Linked DNA regions of Tamandua tetradactyla. The protein of the gene in region 2 binds, or shares a complex with, the protein of the main gene of each other region. Links are inferred from orthologs where the notes say so. Each region holds a gene or a part of one and is shown on either strand. Other genes may lie near its edges.

Region 1 (7,224 bases), about 3.6 Mb from region 2:
AACCTATCTTTTAGGTCTTTGCTTGAATGTCATTCCTAAATGAATCCTTCCTGACCATCCAGACCAGGTTAAGTCTATCCCCCAAGATATATTGTCACAGCATTTACCACGATTCTAATTAAACATATATGCCTGTTTTCCTTCCCCCAAGATATATTCTCACAACATTTACCACAATTCTAACTAAACGTATATGCCTGTTTTCCTTGGTAGACTGCTAGCTCCATGAAGGAAGGAACTGTCTGTTTTGTTCAGCTACTAACACAGTGCCTGGCATTCAGTAGGAGATCAATAGTTTTTTCTCTCTGTAAAGATCTGTAGCTTAATTTACATTTTTACCACCAATAATTAGGGTTCAGCAATTTCATTTTTTTTTTTTGGTTCCATTCATTCTTTTTTTTTTTTTAATACCAGAAAACACCAAACAAATGCAAACATTTGTATTTTGATCATTCTGTTCTATATATATAATCAGCAATTCACAATATCATCACATAGTTGCATATTCATCATCATGATCATTTCTTGGAACATTTGCATCTACTCAGAAAAAGAAATAGAAAGACAACAGAAAAAAAAATTATACATACCATCCCCTTACCTCTTCCTTTCATTGATCACTAGCATTTCAAACTAAATTTATTTTAACATTTGTTCCCCTATTGTTTATTTCTATTCCATATGTTCTACTCGTCTGTTGACAAGGTAGATAAAAGGAGCATCAGACACAAGGTTTTCACAATCACACAGTCACTCTGTGAAATCATTATACAATCATTATACAATCATCTTCAAGAAACATGGTTACTGGAACACAGCTCTACATTTTCAGGCAGTTCCCTCCAGCCTCTCCATTACATCTTGGTTAACAAGGTGATATCTACTTAATGCGTAAGAATAACCTCCAGGATAACCTCTCGACTCTGTTTGGAATCTCTCAGCCATTGACACTTTTTCTCATTTCATGCATCCCCCTTTTGGTCGAGAAGGTTTTCTCAATCCCTTGATGCTGAGTCTCAAATTCTTCTAGGATTTCTGTCCCATGTTGCCAGGAAGGTCCACACCCCTTGGAGTCATGGCCCACATAGCCAGGGGGAGGGTGGTGAGTTTGCTTGTTGTGCTGGCTGGAGAAAGAGGCCACATCTGAGCAACAAAAGAGGTTCTCTTGGGGGTGACTCTTAGGCCTAATTTTAAGTAGGCTTGACGTATCCTTTGTAGGGTTAAGTTTCATATGAACAAACCCCAAGACTGGGAGTTCAGCCTATAGCTTTGGTTGTTTGCACTGCTTGTGAGAATATCAAGAATTCAACTTGGGGAAGTTGAATTTTCCCCCATTCTCACTATTCCCCAAATCAGCAATTCTAGTTTTTATGATTACTAGTTATTATTATAGAAAAACCTATTTTATAGTATGGACTACCATCTATAACTGTATCTCCAAATTTATTTTTCCATCAACATTAAATTATGACATACTGACCAAAATATAATATGAACTCAGATTAACATAGTGTAATTGTTTTCTATTCCTTTTCTATTGCTGCTGTGACAAATTACCAGAAATTTAGTGGCTTAAAATTACATAAATATATTATCCTGTGGTTCTGGAGGTCAGAATCTCAAATGGGTCAGCAGGGCTGTGCTCCTTCTGGAAGTTCTAGAAGAGAACCTGTTTCCTTGCCCTTTTAAGTTTCTAGAAGCTACCTGAAATCCTTGGTTAATAGTCTCTTTCTCACATCACTCTCATCTCTGTTGTCATAGTCACATCTCTTTCTCTGACTCCGACCCTCTTGCCTCTCTCTTATAAGGATCCATGTGATTAAATTTGGCCCACTCAGAAAATCCAAGATAATTTTCTCATCACATTTTACTTAATTTAATGACATCTGCAAGATCTACTTTCCCATGTAGGGTAATATGTATACAGGTTTTGGGGATTAAGATGGAGACATCTTTGGGAGACTATTTTTAGGCCTAGCACACAGAGACAGCAAACTGTGGACCCATGATGAGTTAGTTGCTGCAAGAAATGATAGAAACTTCATTCACTTATATATTAAACTTATCAAAACAACCATGAAGTAGATAAAATAAATTAAGTGAAAAATGTCAAAAATATATATTGAAACGATAAGCAAGATACTATCATAGACTAATGATTATTAAATGGCATCATACATCAACTCAGTGGTTGCCGAGGCTTCCATGTGTAAATCCATTATCATGCTTTTCTGAATCCTGGGATTTCCTGAGGTTTTCAGGTAGGCACACCATTTCCTAAAGGTACTTATTCAATAATATTAAAACCTACATACAAGAGCATAGTGTTTTTCTTACATATATTTAAAAATAAATTTTAGGTGAAAATATCATTGGCATTGATTTTTTATTTGATAAATACCTGTTAATATCCTGCAGAATTGTTTGGGGAACATAATACTATAATAAAAACCAATTTTGAGGAAATCAAGTCTAGAATTCTTGGTTGTTAATTTTAAAAGGCCATTTTTAGACATTTTATTCTCAATTATCTACCAATGTGATCTAATAATTAATATAAAATGACATTTCCACTACAAGCTGATGGGTAAGGCAGCAGCTGGCTTTTTCAGATAAGGATCTCACTGGCAGCTGGACCTTATCAACTTTGCCTGAATTAGGATTTGATTTTATCAGTTCATATAGCTCTAGAGGATAATTCAAATAATCAAGCTTAAGAGGATGTCAGTTTATTGTTTCATATGCAAGAATATAACTGCCAAGATTAGGGCTGTATTAGTTGGAGAGTATCCCTTTTCCCAACAGAAAGTTTATTGGAGAAATCAGATTAAGTCAGAAGGTTGCCTGATGAATATAGTGAAAATGTCAGGCTGCCCAAAATGCCAGGAACCCGCAAACCTTCCTCCCACTGCTCCCTCCCCCTCAATCTGGGCCAAATCACAATCAAAATATTGAAGTAGCCTTCTATACTGGAAAATGTGGTACATTTGAAAAATGATGAGTCAGAATTTTACTTGATGATCTTTCCTGGGTTTTTTTGTTTGTTTTTTATAGCTTAGATGGCTGCTTATTGCCTTTCTCTCAGTCATTTCTCCTCAATCCTAGGCTACTTTCTCTAAAGCTGAGCTGTCCAATACAGTAGCCACTAGAGACTACTGCACAATTGAAATGTGGCTAGTCTGAATTGAGATTTAAGTGTAAAATACATTCCAGATTTTGAAGACTTAAACTAATAGGAATGTAAAATACCTCATGATTGCATGATGAAGGGTAACATTTGGATTTATTTTGGGCTATACTGGGTTAAATAAAAGAGATTATATAAAAGTAATTTCACCCTGTTTCTTCTTCTTTTTTTTAATGTAAACACTAGAAAACAAAGTTACATATGTGGCTCATATTATCCTTCTGTTGGATGGCACTGATGTAAAGACTCCAAAAGGCCTCCTCTGTTACCTTCTTTGGTTGCTCATTATGGTCTGACCTTTTCTCTTTTCCTTCCCTTTCCGGTAACTGCTTAGAGTTAGAGGGTAGAATGGAAAGTTGAACTCTATGACCAAGCTTCGAGTCAAGAGAATTAAGCGCCCAGGTAGACAAGGAAACTCTTAGTTCAATTCTCCATCGCATTAGATTGATGCTACAATACTAGGAGGGGAAAAAAAAAAAAGGAGCAGGGAGACTAACCTTCATTAGCATCCGTAGAGATGGACTGCACATGGAGAATTAAAGAATACTACAAGAATCATTCTGGGCTCAAATTCACACACACGGACACATTAGCATACACACACAAACATGAGGAAGAAGAACAAAAGAATATATACTTTACTCTTTTTCACTTCTCTAGGTTTTTAATCCATTTTTCTATTGGCTACACTGATTTGTCTCCTTTTTCTTTATATAGCAATTAAGACTTGTCTCCTGATTTGGAATGAGGCTATTGCAAAAATGAAGAATAACTATTGGGAAATGACGATGAGGGATGGTGTACCAGATCTCAAGATCAAGCAACATAGAAAGATGATGTAGTATCTAAATTGAAAAAGATCTTAGAGGTTACCTAATTCAATCTCTCATCCCAATTCATAATCCTTTTTATATAGACTAAAAGTGCCTCTATCGTTAAAATATCAATATTCATCTAATATATCATCTAGATACCTAAAAGTGAAGGAAATGTTTTAAAAATATTTTTTCCAACAGGGAAAAAAAATGAAGATGAGAAAACATGATGACATTGTTTATGAACTTAAAGAAGTCCTGAATCCCTCTCCTAAAGTAACAAATTGTTGCAAATCACTGTGGGTGAAATACAGTTTTCAGAAGGCATACATGACCAGACTTGTCAGCTCCCAGCCTGTTTCAGCCATGTCAGGTAAGATATTGTTTGCATTAAACTAAGATAAATATTCTATTCAGCATGTATTTTTCTTAGTATCAAGAACATAAAATTGGGCATTAAATAATTTTTTTAAATTAACTGTAAGAAGACACTGGTAAATGTATTCATTAAAATTCTTAAAGTGAAAATCTAAAACTGACTTTGCTTCGTGGTAATAAATCCCTTAGATTCTGTTAACTCTGAATCTTCAATGTGAAAATTAAGGTTGTCCACAAACAACTAAAATAGAATCAAAATGATCTTTTCACAAAAATTGGTCTTTAAATTTAACCTGACAATGCTTGCATCGTTAAGGTAAAGAAAATTCAGATTAGGTCCCTTCTTGATTTTTCCAATATAGGAAAGAACATGAAGGGAAGATAAACTTGAAATTTTGTTTTGCAAAAGTATGTGATAAATACATGTCCCAGAATGTTGGAAAATTATGTTTGAAGAGCATTAAAGGAGAGCGTTAGGAATGCTTTATGGGGTCTTGGGCTTTTAGTTAGATTTAAAACATGCCAGACACTTGAAAGGAATTATTAATCTCAAACTAATCATCCAATTTTTTTTTTTTTTTTTAACATGGGCAGGCAGCAGGAACCGAACCCGGCTCCTCGGGCATGGCAGGCAAGCACTCGTACCTGCTGAGCCACCGTGGCCCGCCCTAATTATCCAATTTTAAAAGATTTACATGCCATCAAGAATGTGGAAATTCCAAATGGCATCCGTTTTCTGGAAAGTACTCAGTTGACTAAAGTTTTGAATTTTTATCTGTGCAGGTGTCAGCAACAGTTATTTCTCAAAGCCTGATATTCAGTCAGCCATGAACACTTTCTAGAACTTGGGTTTTTTGCGGGATTAAAAAAAATTGAGTGTAATTCACATACCATAAAGTTTAGCCTTTTAAAGTGCACAATTCAGTGGGTTTTAGTATATTCGCAAAGCTGTGCACCCACCACTTTAGGATTTACTCTTTATTGTAAACCCTTTCCAGTATGTTCTCATGCTCACTAAACCTACTGATTTTCCTTAAGAAGCTGATGGGTCCCTTCTCAGGTGCCCTGTGGGTGTTTGAGGCATTTACTTAAAATGCTTTCTCATTACACTTTTATTTAAAAGACAGAGGCAGAGTGGTAAATGAAAGCGAGGGGTAAGGGGTATGGTATGTATAATCTTTTTTTCTCTGTTATCATTTATTTCTTTTTCTGTTGTCTTTTTATTTCTTTTTCTAAATCGATGCAAAGTGTTCTAAGAAATGATGAATATGCAACTCTGTGATGATATTAAGAATTACTGATTGTATATGTAGAATGGAATGATATCTTAATGTTTTGTTAATTTTTTTAATTAATAAAAAAGTTTAAAAAAAAAAGAAAAAGAAAAAAAAGAGGCAGGGTGAAAAGAATTAACACCAGTAGATTTGACTTAGTAACAAGCAGCAACTTAGTCTACATATTTGTTTTTATGCCTAGAAATCTCATTTTTGTTTATAAAACCTTACTTGCGGCTGGTTTTTAGTATTAAATGACTGTCAAGTCGAAACAAGGATTCCCCAATTAGAGATGGCTGCAGACACAAGCTTCTCGTTTCCTTTACATACTTTCCCTGGCCCGGGAGACCTCGGTTTTCTTAATATTCAGGCAGCGCACGTTTCTCCCCTCATATTTTAAGATATCGCTGAAGGAACTGGGGATGTGCAGACTGAAGGAGGCGAGGTGAGGGGGGGGGCACGGAGTTGCCATCATGACGTCGAGAGCGCCAAAGGCCGGATAACGCGAGGCCCACGGCAGCGTAATCTCAGGAGCCCGCTTCCCCGCCTCCAGCTCCCACCAGTCTCGCAGCGAGCAAAGCGCGCGCCGGCCTGTCCGCGGGAGACCCGGCTCGGCCCACAGGCCGCGTAGTGCGCGCTCCCTATTGGCCACAACCGGCCCACGTGACCTTCGCCGCCCCGCCGAGCGCGCGCTCTTCCAGGCGCTGGAGCGAGCCGGGGCGGGGTCCTCCGGCCTAGAGCAGGCTGAGGAGTGGGTAGTGGCTCAGATCCCCGAGAAAGCTCGGTGGCAGGGAACCTTGAAAAGAATAAAGAAACCCCTAAGTACTGCCCGTAGTAAAATTCTTACTGAGGAAGCCGATTCATGAGGAGGTTCCCCTCTCCCCTCAGTGGCTTCTGTCTGGAGCTGAGGCCAGAAAATAGGAATCACAAGCCGTTCCTGAGGGCTAGAAAGGGACTGGGTGGAACCAAGGTTTATCTCCGTTACTGTGGGGAAATCTATACCCGGAAACATAATCCTTTGGAGAAAAATACGTAATTTCTCCAAATACGTGGGGAATTTAAGGCCACTTTTCTGAGAAAAGTGGAGGGGGTGGGGTCGTGGGAAGTCCAGGGATACCGTCCTTACACGCAATTTAAGGGAAACTCTAGGGAAAGCAGAGATGAGTAAGAACAAGAAGTGGTCCTGCCCATCGTTGCCCTGTGGGGGATGGAGTGACGTTAAAGGGCTTGAAAATCACTATAAAGAGTTTGTAGAAAGTAAATAGAAAACTTTAATTTCCAGGGACTTTTAGGAGGTATTTTTTCCCCCAACATTTATTTTAAAAAATTAAATCTAAAGAAATGTAAGAACAAATCAATGGTTGCTCCCTTCGCATGGATTCACTAGGTTTTTTTTTACTTTTTAACATTTTGTCGCATTTATTATATCTTTTTATCTCTACACACGCATACACTTTTCTTTGCTCAACCATTTGAGATTAAATTGCAGACGTACTGACTTCACTTTAAATAATCCAGCATATTTCCTAAGAACAAAGATATTTTTCTTCATAACCACAATACAATTGTC
Region 2 (7,007 bases):
GGGCAGGGGACAGTGGGCTGGCTTACCTGGCCATCTACGTTGCCCGCCTCCTTAAACCTGTTCAGCCCTAGAATGTCCTGGCTGCTTGCCTTCCAGAGGTGGGATTCCCGTTGTACTGCCAGAAACTTCTCCAGCTCCGACTCCATGAAACCTAAGAGCCAGATAGATGGGTGTGGGACAGGTAGGAGTAGGATGGAGCAAACTGCTGGGAATCCAAGAAAGAGGAGATAGCCTCTGCACTCCCAACCTCATCCCAGACTGGAATGATCCCTGCTCACTCCCCGTCGTAGCCCTTTCTTTTTCCATGACCTGGAGCCAGCCCGGACTTCCCCAGGAAATTCACTTGCCAAGGGCTCCCACCTGCAGAGTATATGGGTTTCAAAGAAGACACACATCTAGCCACCAAATCAGGAGCATTGATCTGGAATCCTAACTGGCCGGGTGCTAGTCCCAGCTCAGTCATTTACTAGCTGTGTGACCGTGGACAAGTTAGTTAACCTCCTGTGCCTCTGTTTCCTTGTTGTGGAGTGGAGATTGCTAATAGGCCCTATCTCACGGAGTTATGATGTGGTATTAGGTGAGAAGTGCTTGGAATGGAGTCTGTCATAGTAACAGCTATGTAAATATTAACCAATTTTATCATGGCACGTTCTCACCACTGAACCAGCTGCCCCCCATGTCTGGGACTGCATGGGGGCGACACTGGGAGAAGGGCCCTCTAGGGTGCTGTCACAGCAATGCATGATGGGAAAACAGAAGTGGCTACCAAATGAGTTAGAAGTCTTAGGCTGAGAAAAAGTTGGTGCTTGAGGAGCTCCAGGCCAAATCGCAATCCCCAAACCCTGAAAGGGAGGAGGAGGACCCCTTTCTTGGTTAAACAGCATGGCCTCCAACACAACTCCATGCTATGTGTGCCCCCCTAACCCCTCACCAACCCACCACGTCTCAGGTGGTCATCTTAGGGCCTCTGGTACCACCTGGTGGTCAGAGCTGGTACTACCTCCCCAGGCCTGGCAGTAGGTGGGGAGGGGAGAGGAAGGAGGGTCCTGCACTTACCGGCTGTATCTGTTGACCTCAAAGTCTTATACAGTGGTGACTGGAAGGTGGCGGCAGTGCCTGGGACACAGAGGTTGAAATAGTTATCTTCTTCCTCCATTTCCTTCTCCTGTTTCTCTTCCTCATGAGGCAAGCCTTCCTTGAAAGGAAACTGAGCCAGGCCAGAGCAGATGAGGGGGCTGGGACTCCAAGTTTGCAGCCCTATGTCTCCCAGATAAAACAGCAAGCAGAAGGCAACGGCTTCCAAAGGGTTAAGAAAGAGGACTGCTGCCCCTGGGCCCCATACCCTGGGACCAGCCAGATGTGGGGGTAGGAAGGGCCCCTCCCAGGCCTCATCCCCTCCCCCCCCAACCCCCGCCCCACTACCCCACCTTAGTCCCAAAGACCTTGGCCATGGCCGATTTCTGGAGCTGCTTGTACAAACTGAGGAGGCGGCTCCAGGGAGTTGTCCCCATTTTTGAGGAGGCTAATCTGAGGTCTCCTGTGAAGGGGTGTTGGTCACTGCCAGGCTGGGGGTGGTGGTGCCCAGGCCCGGGGGTCAGGAACAGGGGAAGTCTGAGCTGGGGGGAGGGTTTTCTTCCTTTAGCAAACACCTATGTGTCAGACACTTTACAAATACTATCTCATTTCATCCTTGCAACTACCCCCTTTCCCCCCACCCCCGCAGAGAGGTAGTAGTATATTCCCATTTTATGGGATGAGAAATCAGAGACACAGAGAAGTTAAGCAACTTTGCCACTGTCACACAACTTGGTGTGGTAGAGGTGGGATTCAAACCCACACAGCCTGGCTCTAGAGTTCCCTCAGACTGTGTCCTGGGTCCTTCCTGGCCCCATACCTTGAGGAGCTCTAGAGGCACAGGGTCCATTTCTGACATCTCTCTGGCTCCCGGGGGTCACCACACTCACCATCAAGCAGACACTCCTTCTCCTCCTCTCCGGTGAGGGCCTTGAACTTGACCTCCAGGGCTCCCATTGCCCTCCGCAGGCATCCTTGTTCCACCTCGAGGGCCTGGGCAAAGTGGAGACTGATCCCAAAGCAGAGTCAGGTGGGGAGTGGGGCTGGTCCCAGAGATGTGGCAAGGGCCCTCGGTGTCCCCGCTGTGCGCTCCCTCAGGCCCTGCTCAGCGCTCTGGTTCTTTGTCATAGAGGGGCTGTCCCTCCTGGCAAGTGGGGAGTGAGGAGCAGAGGGAAAAGCCAGTCCCCTTCCTTACAGGGGATGGGCGTCAGGCCCAGAGGGGACTGGGAAACCAGGAGGGAGAGTGTGGGGAGAGAAGGCAGGGTAGATAGAGCAGGGCCTGGAACAGGAGGCTGGGGAAGACACCGGAGCCCCAGTCCAGCCTGGCACCTTCCCTGCCCAGGCCCTAGCCCCTGCCTTTTGTCTTCGGTCCCTAAACCCCCATCTCCCCATCCCTCCCCACCTAGGTGCTCTCTATTCATCCAAGGACTCCCCTTCCCCATCTCAGGCCATCCCAGGCCCCTTCCCCATCCGTTGCCACCCCCCCCACCCCCATACCCACAGCCCCAACCCCTCACCTGCCTGAGGCCCCTGTGTCTCCACAGGCCTCCCCCACTGCCTCCCCCTCCTCTTCTTCCTCCTCCTCCTTCTCAGACAGGTTGTCCAGCACCTCCTGGCTTCCTCTCAGCAGGCCTGACTTCCCTCTTCCACTCTGGGTCATGACAGGAAGGACCTCCAGAGGGGTGGCGGGCTGGGCCCCCACGCCCCCCACCTCTGCAGGCTGAGGCCCTGGCGGGTCCTGGGAACCCCTGGGCATGGCCACAGAAAGGGCGCAGGGCAGCATGGCAGGCCGGGCCATCGTCAGGGGCACTGCGTCCTGCTCCTGAGAGGGGCGCACACAGGCCCCCACCAGGACCCTGCCACAGCCCCTTGGGCCGCTCTTGCTCCCCACCAGGCTGCGGAAAAAGTGGAACAAGGAGGAGCGGCCCAAAACTCGGGATGGGGGCATCGGAGTTGGGGCCTCCATCCTGAGGGGACCGCGACTCAGAGGGAAGGGCTGCAGCATCCACACCAGGACCAACTGCCTAAGAACAGGAGGAGTTTTCAAATTAAAACCTCCGATTGGAAACTTCCAGGAGTTCTAGAAGGCGGAGGTCGGGCGGTGGGGGTGGGAGGGGGCTTCATGGGGCTTCATGGGAAGTGGGAGGGGCAGAGGAATTGGATGGGGGGTTTGATGAGGCAGGGGCAGGAGGCTTGGTGGGGGGGTGCTTGACAGGCAAATAGAGCAGAGGGTAAAGGCTTTGGGGAGGGAGTGTTAATGGGAGTCCTGGGGGACTGGACAGGGAGTGGACAGGGGGCGTGTGGGAGTGGACTAGACCTTCAGAATGGGGGAGGGGGCTGATGAGGATCACCTGGCCGGCCCTTCCCCGGCCATTTCCATCCCTGAGAACCATTCCCCTCGGCCAGACAGTATCTGCCCTCCTTTCCTCAGCGCCCTTAGCCTCCAGCTCACACGTGCCCAGGTGGGAGCACACACCTCATTATTTACCTGTCCTTCACCTTCATGGGTTCCAGCTCCAAGAACTACCAAGATGCCATTGCAAGTTGAATCTCAACTTATTCTTGCCATTCCGCATGGCACCCACAGCCCTCGTTGATTATAAACCCAGCTCAGTGACCTGGCAGAGTTCCTTAAACCTTCGCCGGAGCCTCGGTTTGCTCCTCTGTGAAATGGACAGAGTTGGCAGTGTCTACTTGCAGGGGGTGTTGAGATTATTCCACGAGACAAAGTGACCGCTAAAGGACATAGCACGCTGGGGACGCTTAAGAAAGCCATCGTGGCTTTCTCTAATAGACACGGATTGATGGAAGGGAGAAATGATCGAGGGCTGGGGGCCGGCGCCGGGAGAAGCCGCTCCGCCCCGCGGGCCGTGGGGTGGAGGGGGGAGCGCGGCCCGGGCATCCGGATCCGGCGGCCGCGGAGGCGCTGCCTCTAGAGGGAGCTGACTGGAGCTGGGCACAGCCCACACCTCTATGATTTCCCAGCCGCTCGCGCCCCTCCGGCCGGCGGTGACAAGCAGAGGCGACATCCCGATGCCGGGAGCTCACTGACGCCGGCTCCTGAAGCCCGGCCTCGGCACCCCTCTCCTGGGCGCGGCCGCTGCTCCTGGGGACCTCCGGCCTTGACCCTGCGATCCACCCCACCGCTTCTGGACCAGAGTCGGGGTTAGGTATGCTGGGCTGGTGGGGGTGGTAGAGGGGAGGGGGCGTCCTGCTCATCCTGCCAGCCTTTCCCCATCCCGGCCCCAGGCCCAGGGTGGGGAGGGGGAGAGCTTCAGGGCTTGTCCCAGCCACTCCGCTACCCCTTGCCTCTGGCTGGCCCCTCAGACGGTGTCTCCTCCTGCCCCTGCTATGGGTGCCTGAGAACTGGGTCCTGCAGCGGTCTGGGGATTGGGGGTGGGGATGGGGGGTGAAGTTCAGAGCCAAGGTCAAGGTCAAGGCGAAAACATCCACAGTGCTTCCTCCTGCCCTAGGAACCCTAGACTGGGTCTGGGGCCCTGGCCAGGCATCTCCCGTGGGAACATCCTGCCAGGGTCACTGGCCCAACTAAGCCAAGCAAATTGGACTGGGGGGATTCCCTTTACCAGGAAGTTGGGCCATTCGGAATGGGGACAGGGGGTGGTAGAGGCCGCTGGCCCTGGGGGCCCTCCTGGGGCTACACTTGCTCCCCAGCTGTAGGGAGAGCTAGGGGTATGCTCAGCATCCTCCATCCTTGCTGACTTGGGGGTGTGGGATTTCAGAGGCCCAGGGAGAGGGAAAGGCATCTTTTCCAGGAAGGAGCTGCGGGTGGGGGGTGGGGGGCGGTGCCAGGCAAAAGTCTGTCCTTCCTGGCCCAGGGGAAAGGAGAGTCTGCCTAAGACATGCCCTGAGGGTGGAGTGGAGGAGCTCTGAGTGATTCAGCCCCCTTCCCAGACAACTTTGGGGTACTTTTGAAAATAGCCCCAGGCCTAAAAGGGAGGAGGGTATGGGCACCCAGTTAGGGACGAGGGAGTAGCCCTGCTTGGCTCAGGGTGGGGTTGTACCCTCCCCAGGGACAGCAGGAGGGGCAGCTTTCACTACAGTGATCGAGGCAGCTTTGGGGAAAATGTGGCTCTGGAATGGGGTGCAAATTGAAAGTGAAACAGCACATATCCAGGAAATACTCTTTCTCTCGGGTTCACAGAGCAGATCCAGTGGAGCAGGGCAGCTGCCAGGGCAGGGTAATGAGGAAATGGGGCTGGGGACAGAGCAGGTATGTGGTGGGGAGCCCGTGGCACTAGTCAGTATAGGGAGCAATGAGGAAGACCCTGGCTCCCGAGGACTTCCTCAGCTCATCCGGAGGCAAGAGTGGGGAGGGGACCAGCAGGAAGTAGATGGGGAAAGTTGCCCTGGAGAGGATACCTTATGAGGTACACACACACACACACACACACACACACACACACACAGGAAAATCCATTTTAAATGAGTGTTGAGTTTATGGACTCATGGAGATTCAGGACACCAACCTGAGTTTTCCTGACTAGCTATGGGGCCTCAAGCACTGATCTGCCTGTGCCTCACTTTTCCTACCTATAAAATTGGTATGACGATGCTTACTTTGCTGGTTAATATGACTTTTCAATGCCCAGGGCCCAGGGGGTGCTCATAAGCGGTAGGGGTACAGTGTGGGGGTGCTCAGGAAATGTTTGTGGCTTACAGGCCTGAATTGGAAAAGCAGGTGTGCCGTGATGGGCCAAGGGGAAGTGGGGCCTTCAAGGACACTCCTTCATGGGTCATTGGCTAGGAGGTGACAAGCCTGTGGTCAGAGTGTGCCGGGCCCCTGAAACTAACCTCCCCCACCCAGGAGTGAGGAGAAACATGACCTCAGAGTCACACTGGGGTGCAGAAACCTGGGAGCAAATCTTGGCTGAACTCTTAGTGTGTCTTTGGCTGCCTCCCCTCTTGCACCCCCTAGGGTGTTGCCAGTGAAGTGTCCATCAATTTCTGATTCTGCCAACAGACTCTGCTGGGACCCAAGCTGGTGGCATAAGAGAAGTCTGGAGCTAGGACTCAGGGTCCTTCCCGGAGTCAGGCAGCCTTCCCTGCTGTGGGGCCCTGGGAACTATGCTGGGATTCCCAGTCATGACTTCCTGCTCATGCCCACATACTTTTTCTCACCCATCCCCACAGGCTGACACTATCCTCCACCCGGGTCTGAAAAATGGCATCTGGACAAGGCCCAGGTCCCCCCGACCAGGGATGCGAAGAGCCTAGCCCATCCTCCACTTCTGGTAAGGGCCCTCCTGCCCCCTCACCATCCCAGAACTACTGGAGCTACCTGAGCAGAAAAGGGCAGGCTCTCCTGCCTCAGTTTCCCCACCTTGGATCAAGGAGGAAAAATACCTCCCCACCCAGTGGAGGTGGCCTGTCAGGCTCAGAAGCCAGGTTGCAGTCAAGGTTAAGCCCAGTCCTTTGGATTCAGGTCACAGCTCTGTCACTGCTTCCCTATGTGACTTTTCTAGGCCTGAGGTCTTGGTTTCCAATCTGTTTCCCGTGTTCCCCAAAGACATGAGGGCTGGGTACCTGACACACACTAGACGGACGCGGGCCAGGGTGGGTCCAGGGGCTGGGAGAGCACATGGGAAGATGGGCACTGCGCCATCCCAGGGCGTAACCCTGACTCCACTCCAGCTCCCTCCAGGGACGGGATCCGGGATCAGGGCTTAAAGGAGGAGGAAAGAAGCCTTGCAGTGGGAGAAATAAGGAAGTAAATTGGCTTATCACTGAGTTAGGTCTGCTAAACAAGAGAATGCAATTGTTGTGACTTTGGGGGAGGAAGTAAGAGGGTTGTCCTTCTACCCTCTTCCAAGGAAGCCTAGAGCTCAGGGCCCACAACTAACCAGTCCAGGTAGCTCTCTGGACTTTGGGTTCAGATCCCAGCTCTATCACTATTTCCCTATGTGACTTTTCTT
Region 3 (7,878 bases), about 3.5 Mb from region 2:
TATCCAGCCCAAAATGTCAACAGTGCCAAGGTTGAGAAACTTTGGCTTAAGTCATTGTTGACAAGGTGCTGGCAAAGTTTTCTTTACTAATACATGGAGTGTGAGAGCTTGGCTGGAGCCACGGGAGGGTGAGTGGACCAGTATCCACTTTAGGGCGCAGGAGAGAGGAGTGAGGGGAACCATTCCAGCTGATTTCATTCATAGCACACTGTTAGGCTTGGAGCAAGTTCCGTGAAAGAGCTGCAGACTCCAGCACTATAGGCAAGACCTCAATGTGGGCTCCTCTTGAGCTAATGCTGCCACTTCCCATGCTGGGAGCCCGTTCGGATCGCATTATTTGAAGTCTCTTGGCAGGCTTGCAGGGTTGATATCATTTGTTCCCATTTTACAGTTGTGAAAGCTGAGGTTCAGAAGAACAGAGGTGTGCTGTGCTTTGGAGACTGACTAACAGATTTTAATCTACTGCTTGCTAGCAGGGCCACTTTTTGAGCATCAGTTTCCTAATCTGTAAAATAATGTATACTTTATAAATGTTATCGTGAGGGTAAAAAATAAGTAACGTTTGCAAAGGCCTTTAGTATAGGGCCTGGCACATAGTAAATTTATCACAGGTGGTTGTTGCTACTGGAATTACTCACGATATTATTACTGAGTTTAACTGGCCCAGAGTCACCCACTTGGGAGTTGAGGTGCTGCGGGAGCAGGTCCCCCTGAGTCACCCCAGAACAATTGAGGAAGGGGGGATACTGGGAGACACTGAAGAGACAGGAAAAGTCCCCGAGCAAGTGAGACTGCATGGGAATTGAGATTTCCTGAGCACTTTCATTGTAAGACATAACTTCTGTCATCTTATATACCAACCGAAAGAATATTCTGTAATTTCCTTCTTGCCGGGGGCTGGTGTGGAGGTGGGGGTGGGGTGTCAGGGGACCTCGGTCCTCGGTACTGACCTGGCTGGGGAAGGGGTAAAGCCTCTGCCTTTTGGGTGCTTCTCGCCGAGGAAGGAAAGAAGACACAGACAGGGTGGGGGCTGGACTTTGGATTGGGACCTGGCCCTGGATTCCAGGTAGAGGGTCTGGACCTGGAAAGGAGGGTGTGTTCTCACACTCGCGGGTGCCCTTTGCTCCTGAAAGTCATCAAGAGCTGGCATAATTATTTCCATCATGTAAATTCTCTTGCTATGATTTCTGGGAAGCTGAGTTTCAAACTCAGAAAGGTTGTGAAAATTCTTCCCTTAAATATGTTACTGAGAACAGCTCCACCAATCACTCCTGAGGCTGAAGCACTCTACCCTGCTCTAAATGTGGTGCCCCCTTTTCATCCCAGACCCTGCTTATCTTTTGTGTCTCCGTGTGGCTTACCCAGTCCACACAAGAGAGTGAATAAATAAACATACAACCTCTCTGGGGGAAAAAAATTCTCTGTTTTGTGAATGCAACATTTTTCCGTTTCACGGTCACCGCCGGACATTTGAGTAGTTTCAAGTTTTTGGCTATCACAAATAGCGCTGCTCTGAACACTCTCATAAAAGGTGCTGCTTTGTTTTTCTTGGAGGGGCACGTGTGTATGTATTTCTGCTCTGCATATATTTAGGAGTGGAACTGCTGAGTCATAGGGGCTGTCTGCTCAGCTTTGGCAGATGCTGCCACGCAGTGTCCCAAAGCGCCTGTATCATTCTCTGCTCCCACCGGTGGCGTGTGAGGATTCTGCAGCCCCACGGCATTGGCAGTCAGAGAACGTGGAGCGGCAGCTACAGGCCCAGGATGGCTGAATCTCACAAGCACGAGGCAGAGCGAAGAAAGCCAGACCTAAAAGAAGAGGTGCAGCCTGGCTCCTCTTTATATAAAGCTCAGAACCTGGCGAACTGAATCTAAGCGGCTACAAGTCAGGGTGGTGGTGCCCACAGGGACACTGCCTGGAAAGGGGCATGGGGACTGGGTGGGGGGTTCCTCTGGGGCTCTGGGAATGTCGATTCCTACTCTGGGTGCTGGTGACACAGGTTTATTCCCCTTTGACAATTCCTCGAGCTGCATACTTAGGAGTTTTGCCCTTTTCTGTATGTTCCACTGGAAAAATCATTTCAAAAAGGATCTTCAATCTCCCTCTCTCCTCCCTCTGCTGTGTTTTCTCACAGCGTTTGGTTGGGAATGTCCATCCGGGCCCCTACTGTGGCCGCTTCACCAGACCCCCCTCTGTGTCTCTCCTTGAAATTCGTCGTAGTTTTCAAACAAAAGGCCCTGCATCTTCACTGTGCATGGGGCACCCTATATTATAAGCCCTTCCTGGTGAGGGACCTTCTTAATAGGGACATGATGACTGCTCCTCTTGCAAGAACTAGGGGTGAATATTCCTACAAGTGATGTGGGATCACAGGTGCCTACATGATGCCTTTTGAGCTGGATTCATGATTTTCTCTTTGTGTGTCTGTTTCCCCACCTCCACTATAAACTCCAAGAGGGCTGGGCCAGGCTAACTCACCTCTGAACAAGAAAGAGCACATACAGTGTGCATGAGGCTTGAAGGAAGGGTTTAACTAATACTGTTTGTTGTTTAGCCTCTTGTTTGAAGCCTCCATCACCTCTTAGGTGAATGAATTCTCTGTACTCAGTGCCGAGGCTGCTGGCACACAGTTGCATCCCAAACTTGTTTGTTGACAGAATGACTGAAACACTAACAACTCTCCTACCAAGAATAAGGTATTGGCCCTTTATTGGCAATTTACTAGGTGCCAGGCACTGTGCTAATATGTAGAAATGTGACTGTTACATAGAAGGCATGCCGTACATTTTCTTCTTTTGGTTTTCTATTGTCTCTTTTCTTGCAAGCATGAGGACATTTGGCCCTCGCAATCACCCTGGTTTTCTAGGTGAGGAAACAGGCCCAGAGATGTGTGTCTGTTGCCCAGGGCCACACAGCTGGCAGATGGTTCCAGGTCTGAGTGAGGCCAAAACTTGGTGCTTCCAGTCTTTTCTTTTTATTATTACATATTAATTAAAATTTTTTCATATTATCAAATCAAAACAACATATAACGAACATTCCTAACATACAAACGTTCTGTGCATGGTGTTCAATTAATGGCTTACAATATTATCACATAGTGGTATATTCATCACCATGATCATTTTTGAGAACATTTGCATCACTCCAGAAAAAGAAGTAAAAAGAAAAGAGAAACAACTCGTACATCCCATGTCCTTTCATTGTTCACTAGTATTTCCATCTACTCAATATATTTTAAACTCTGTTTCCCCTTTTTTCTTTCTATACCCCTTACCATTACCTTTCATTGTTCACTAGTATTTCAATCCATTCAATTTATTTTGACATTTGTTCCCCCTATTATTTATTTATTTTTAATCCATATTTTTTACTTATCTGTCCATACCATAGATAAAAGGAGCATCAGACACAAGGTTTTCACAGTCACACAATCACACTGCGAAAGCTATATCATTATACAATCGTTTTCAAGAAACATGGCTACTGGAACACAGCTCCACAGTTTCAGACAGTTCCCTCCAGCCTCTCTAATACACCTTAAACTAAAAAGGGAATATCTATAAAATGCATAAGAATGACCTCCAGGATAACCTCTTGACTCTGTTTGAAATCTCTCAGACACTGATACTTTATTTTGTTTCAGTTTTCTTTTTCCCCTTTCAGTTGAGTCAGTTTTCTCAATCCCTTGATGTTGAGTCCCAGCTTTTTCTAGGATTTCTGTCCCATGTTGCCAGGAAGGTCCACACCCCTGGGAGTCATGTCCCACGTAGAGGGGGAGGGCAGTGAGTTTGCTTGTCATATTGGCTAAGAGAGAGAGGCCACATCTGAGCAACAAAAGAGGTTCTCTGGGGATGACTCTTAGGCCTGATTTTAAGTAGGCGTAGCCTATTCTTTGCAGAGATAAGTTTCATATGAACAACCCCCAAGATTGAAGGCTCAGCCTATTGATTTGGTTGCCCCACTGCTTCTGAGAATATCAGGAATTCTCCAAATGGGGAAGTTGAATTTTCCCCTTTTCTCACTCTTCCCCCAAGGAGACTTTGCAAATACTTTTTTATTCATTGTTCAAATCAATCATCTATCTTTCTTTCTGGTTTCATTTGTGTCACCAACCTTTCTCCCTTTATCATTCTCACATTCAGGTACTTCCAGTCTTGACTTTTTATTGTCTCCCAGGTCAATGAACCAAAATAGGATTTCAAACATGTTTTGCTTTTGTTTAAATAAAGCTAGCTTTTAAATTTTCTGATTATAAACACATGATATCTAGCTATATATACATATATATATATATGTATATATATATATATGTATATATATATATATATATATATATATATATATATATATATATATATATATATATATAATAATCCAGACTCTATAGTAAATGAAAATCTGACTTGTAAGACTTCTTAGAATGTTCTCTAAAGAGTCATGGCAAGCCTGGCCAGAAATAACAAGATTGGAAAACACAGTCCTTATCAGCTCTTACTTCTGAGTCTTTAGTCTCTAGGTCAAGGAATAAACATGCTCCCCAGTCACCTCTCTTTCTCAATCCTTCCTTCCCTGCTGACCTTTCACGACAACCAAGTGAAGGTGGCGGAGGTGATAAAGCTACACAGAAGCAAACCTCCTCCTTCTCCCCACCCCTCGCCTGCGTTTCCCATAAACGCTTGTTTATAATTCCATGGACTGGTCTTCCCCAAGCCAGGCCTAAGGTTGTTTGCTCAGAGGTTGGTTTCTTCTTGGGGTTTGGGTGCAATAAGGAAGTTGTCAAGTGAAACTGTTTTTTTTCCAGGGTGGCTGAGCTAAGCCTCCTATCACCGGAGGAGAAGGAAGGGGCAAGGACCAGGTCACAGCAGGTGGAGGAGGGTGGGCTGGCCCATGGTGCTTTGGATTGGCTGCCCGTGAGTGAGCTCAGCTCCTGGGTGAGACGATTTATATGACTGAAAGCATCTTCTGAGACACTCTGAAAACTGGCAGCAGCAATAGCAGCATCTTCTCCCTGGGAGAGCTGGGCCTGACCCTTTATCAGACACCCCTTCCAGCCAACAGGGAGAGTGCTGAGTCACCGAGGGGTGCCCGACGCAGAGCAGGCCAGGGGAATCTCAGCCGACCGTGTCCTGGGACAGGAGCAACTTCTGTGGTCCGAGGTTGGTTGAACAATACCCTCATCTTTGGAGGTTGGAGCATTTGGGTAGATATCTTGGCATACCGAAAAGAGGGTAGACCCTGGAGACAGACTCTGAGTCCAGCCCCAGTTCTGCCGCTGGTTTATTGGGCCCTCTATGGCCCTCGGTTTCCTCTTCTCTGAAAAGATGGAGCAGGGTTCAATGAAGAGATCTCAACCGGATGTCACCTGAGAGCTCTGAACTCACCTGGAGTGCGGTGTGCTAGCCAAGCAGCCCTGAGCAAGAAACTTAATTTCCTGAGCCTCCCGTTCCTAGTCTGCAGAATGCGGGTCCGTTACATGTCTGTCCCTCTGGTTTCCTTGTAGGATGTTGTAGAGGTGGAGTCAGAGTGTGTGTCAAGGGAAGACTTACATAAACAGGAGGTGTTATTGCCTAGTTCTGTGCTCTTAAGATTCTCGGCAGTTAGTCTAAAGAGAAGGGGCTCTTATGAAAAGAACTGGTGGCTTGATTCTCTGCTAGGAGATTTTTTTGGGGGGTGGGGGGTGGATTTTAACTCACCATTTCCATCCCGCGCCCCAGGCAGCAGTTGCCTTGTGGTCTTGGATAGAAGACAAGATGGGAGTGGATGTGGAGAGAGGTAGGGGTGGGGGCGCTTCCTGAGCACACTCTAGGAGTGGGGTGGAGGGAGCGGAGATACTTTTCGGAGTTCTCCAGCTTTTTGAACGACGTCTGCACTGCTCCCTACCCGAATCTGCCCCGCTAATCTGTCACAGTTTCCCAAGTTCATGGCTGTGACTTTCCACCCTGGGGACTCTGGGTGTGAGATGGTTGTGGGCCGGCGGTGCCAATGAGAAGTAGATTGGGAGCTCCTGGTGCGGCCCTGGCCCTCTGGCCCACCCACAGCGGGTAGGTTTCCTGCCCAGTGGTCTGTGAACCCCGCCCCATGCTCACAATCTTTGGTTCTGGGCCACTGATGTCTGTATCTGGACACACGTGGACACCTGACTCTACGTGTACCAGCCCCGGTGAGGGTGTGTATCGATAAGGTTATTTCTGTCGGGATGAAATAGCAATCATGCTCATGGGTAAGTCCCTGTGTGTGTATATGAGTGACTGTATTTATGGGAGGCTGCTGGGTATTGGAGGGAGAAAACAGGATTAAGAATCAGGAGAAGTGGACTCAAGTCCCAGGTTTCCACTTCTTGGTGGTATGGCCTTGGGCATGTCTCTTAATTGCTCAGAGCCTCAATTCCCTATTTGCTAGCTCCTTGGATTCCCAGGGCCGTGACAGAGGTTAAATGAGACAATGCAGATAAAAGCTTTCTCTGGATATTGCATGGGGCAGCACAGAGTTGATCTGACTTCACGTCTGTCTGCATACCTGTGCGTGCTTCATGTGCGTGTAAACATGGACATGGCGCTGAGCCATGCAGGCTGGGTCCTCCTTCCTGCGAGTTAGAATTCGACAGGGAGGCAGAGGGCAAATAGCTCCATAGATAATTTTCCTCTTACAATTGGGACCATACAAATACAATTTAAATGGCATGTTATGAGTCCGTGTTGGTTTATATGGGGTGCATGCATGTTTTGTGGGTACACTTCCACTACGGATGTGCAACAGGTCGGTTATTTCTTAAATACCTTTTGGGTGTCGCCTACAGAGGTGGGGCAGGGAACGGTGTGAGAGAGCAGTTCCAGAGCAGAGGGGCTGGATAAGGAAAATAGAGATGCGTATATAGATGATGTCAGTGTACAGTTTAAAGAATAACCAAAAAAAAAAAAAAGCAGCATATTGGGGATAAAAATAACCAAACTTCCTGCTCCACAGTAGTTCAAGGTCAGTTTTGTGTGCTTTCTTTGGGTTGTTTGTCGTTTTCATACACCTCACGGGAACACGTCATGTCTTATCAGAACTCATCTGCTCTGCAGACCGGTTGGATATTTCTGAGTTGATTTGGACTTTGCTCTGAAGTTCACTCTCTACCAAGGCAATAAACAAGTTTACTAGAACAGCTGGGTTTCCCTGCACTGATGATCTACCGCTGTCACAGGATCACTGGTCTGAAAGCATGTTCTGGACAGGGCAGGATTTCCTGACAGTCAGGTCAGCGCAGCTTAGCCCACAGACAGAGCAGGGGCACAAAATGAGTAAAAAGAGGAGAGAAAAAAGAAAGTTCTGTCTTGATGAATTCTGGATAAGCAGAATCTTGACAGCCAGAAAATCTAGAAAGACTTAGTTTGGGTATATATAGAAATTGGGGAGGGGCTGATGTGAAAGCATAATCTTCTCCGGGCTCAGGGACTTTAAAAAGCTGAGGACAAAGAGGGTCCTTCACAGGGCAGGTGGGTTTGCCTTCCCGGGCCAACCACAACTCCTCAGAGGAGGGGCGGTCAGAGACGTAGGAGGAAAACTGAGCTGAGTTTGGTCTCAATCACCAACAGAGGAAAAAATCGCAAGAAGCAAGTGGACATAGTAGCAAATGCTGCAGCACCTTTTAGTGGGATGGGGGATGAGAAGAGGTCACTGGATTTGGAATTAGACCTCGGGGGAGTCTGGGATTCTCTCTGCACTGGGGAAGCACCCCTGTGATAGCTGAGGCTCCAACTCACCCATCTTGTCCTCTCCCTGCCTCCAGGGCTGCAGCAGCTGCTGGGTTTGGTTACCCTCCCTAACTTCTCTCATCCCCCTCTGGGCTCAGGGCACTCGTTGCTCTAGGGAGGAGGGGACCAAATCTAGGCAG

The links.
Region 1: the proteins of BAK1 (region 2) and PXT1 are in contact, whole or in part, in a crystal structure (PDB 8GSV), measured with the Homo sapiens proteins. The link is inferred for Tamandua tetradactyla from reciprocal best matches to the Homo sapiens genes BAK1 and PXT1. Residues at the interface, in NP_001179.1 of Homo sapiens: Ile81, Gly82, Asp84, Ile85, Asn86, Arg88, Tyr89, Glu92, Phe93, Met96, Leu97, His99, Leu100, Tyr110, Lys113, Ile114, Ser117, Leu118, Glu120, Ser121, Asn124, Trp125, Gly126, Arg127, Val129, Ala130, Phe134, Asn182; in NP_694535.2 of Homo sapiens: Ile78, Ile79, His80, Lys81, Leu82, Ala83, Met84, Gln85, Leu86, Arg87, His88, Ile89, Gly90, Asp91, Asn92, Ile93, Asp94, Arg96, Met97.
Region 3: the proteins of BAK1 (region 2) and BNIP5 are in contact, whole or in part, in a crystal structure (PDB 8IGC), measured with the Homo sapiens proteins. The link is inferred for Tamandua tetradactyla from reciprocal best matches to the Homo sapiens genes BAK1 and BNIP5. Residues at the interface, in NP_001179.1 of Homo sapiens: Leu78, Ile81, Gly82, Ile85, Tyr89, Glu92, Phe93, Met96, His99, Leu100, Tyr110, Lys113, Ile114, Ser117, Leu118, Ser121, Asn124, Trp125, Gly126, Arg127, Val129, Ala130, Phe134, Ala180, Leu183; in NP_001010903.3 of Homo sapiens: Ile246, Ile247, Gln248, Met249, Ile250, Val251, Leu253, Leu254, Lys255, Arg256, Val257, Gly258, Asp259, Gln260, Trp261, Glu262, Glu264, Gln265, Ser266.

The regions. Positions count from the first base shown.
Region 1 is NC_135331.1:93,205,844-93,213,067, reverse strand, and holds the start of PXT1 (peroxisomal testis-specific protein 1), read left to right. Parts: upstream 1-4,209; 5' UTR 4,210-4,212; coding exon 4,213-4,375; intron 4,376-7,224.
Region 2 is NC_135331.1:89,593,604-89,600,610, reverse strand, and holds the start of BAK1 (bcl-2 homologous antagonist/killer), read left to right. Parts: upstream 1-3,990; 5' UTR 3,991-4,244; intron 4,245-6,225; 5' UTR 6,226-6,256; coding exon 6,257-6,326; intron 6,327-7,007. Other genes in the region: gametogenetin-binding protein 1-like, read right to left, coding at 27-151, 1,057-1,207, 1,428-1,537, 1,965-2,083, 2,592-3,079. UniProt on the Homo sapiens protein: Plays a role in the mitochondrial apoptotic process. Upon arrival of cell death signals, promotes mitochondrial outer membrane (MOM) permeabilization by oligomerizing to form pores within the MOM.
Region 3 is NC_135331.1:93,114,542-93,122,419, reverse strand, and holds the start of BNIP5 (protein BNIP5), read left to right. Parts: upstream 1-4,863; 5' UTR 4,864-5,158; intron 5,159-7,878.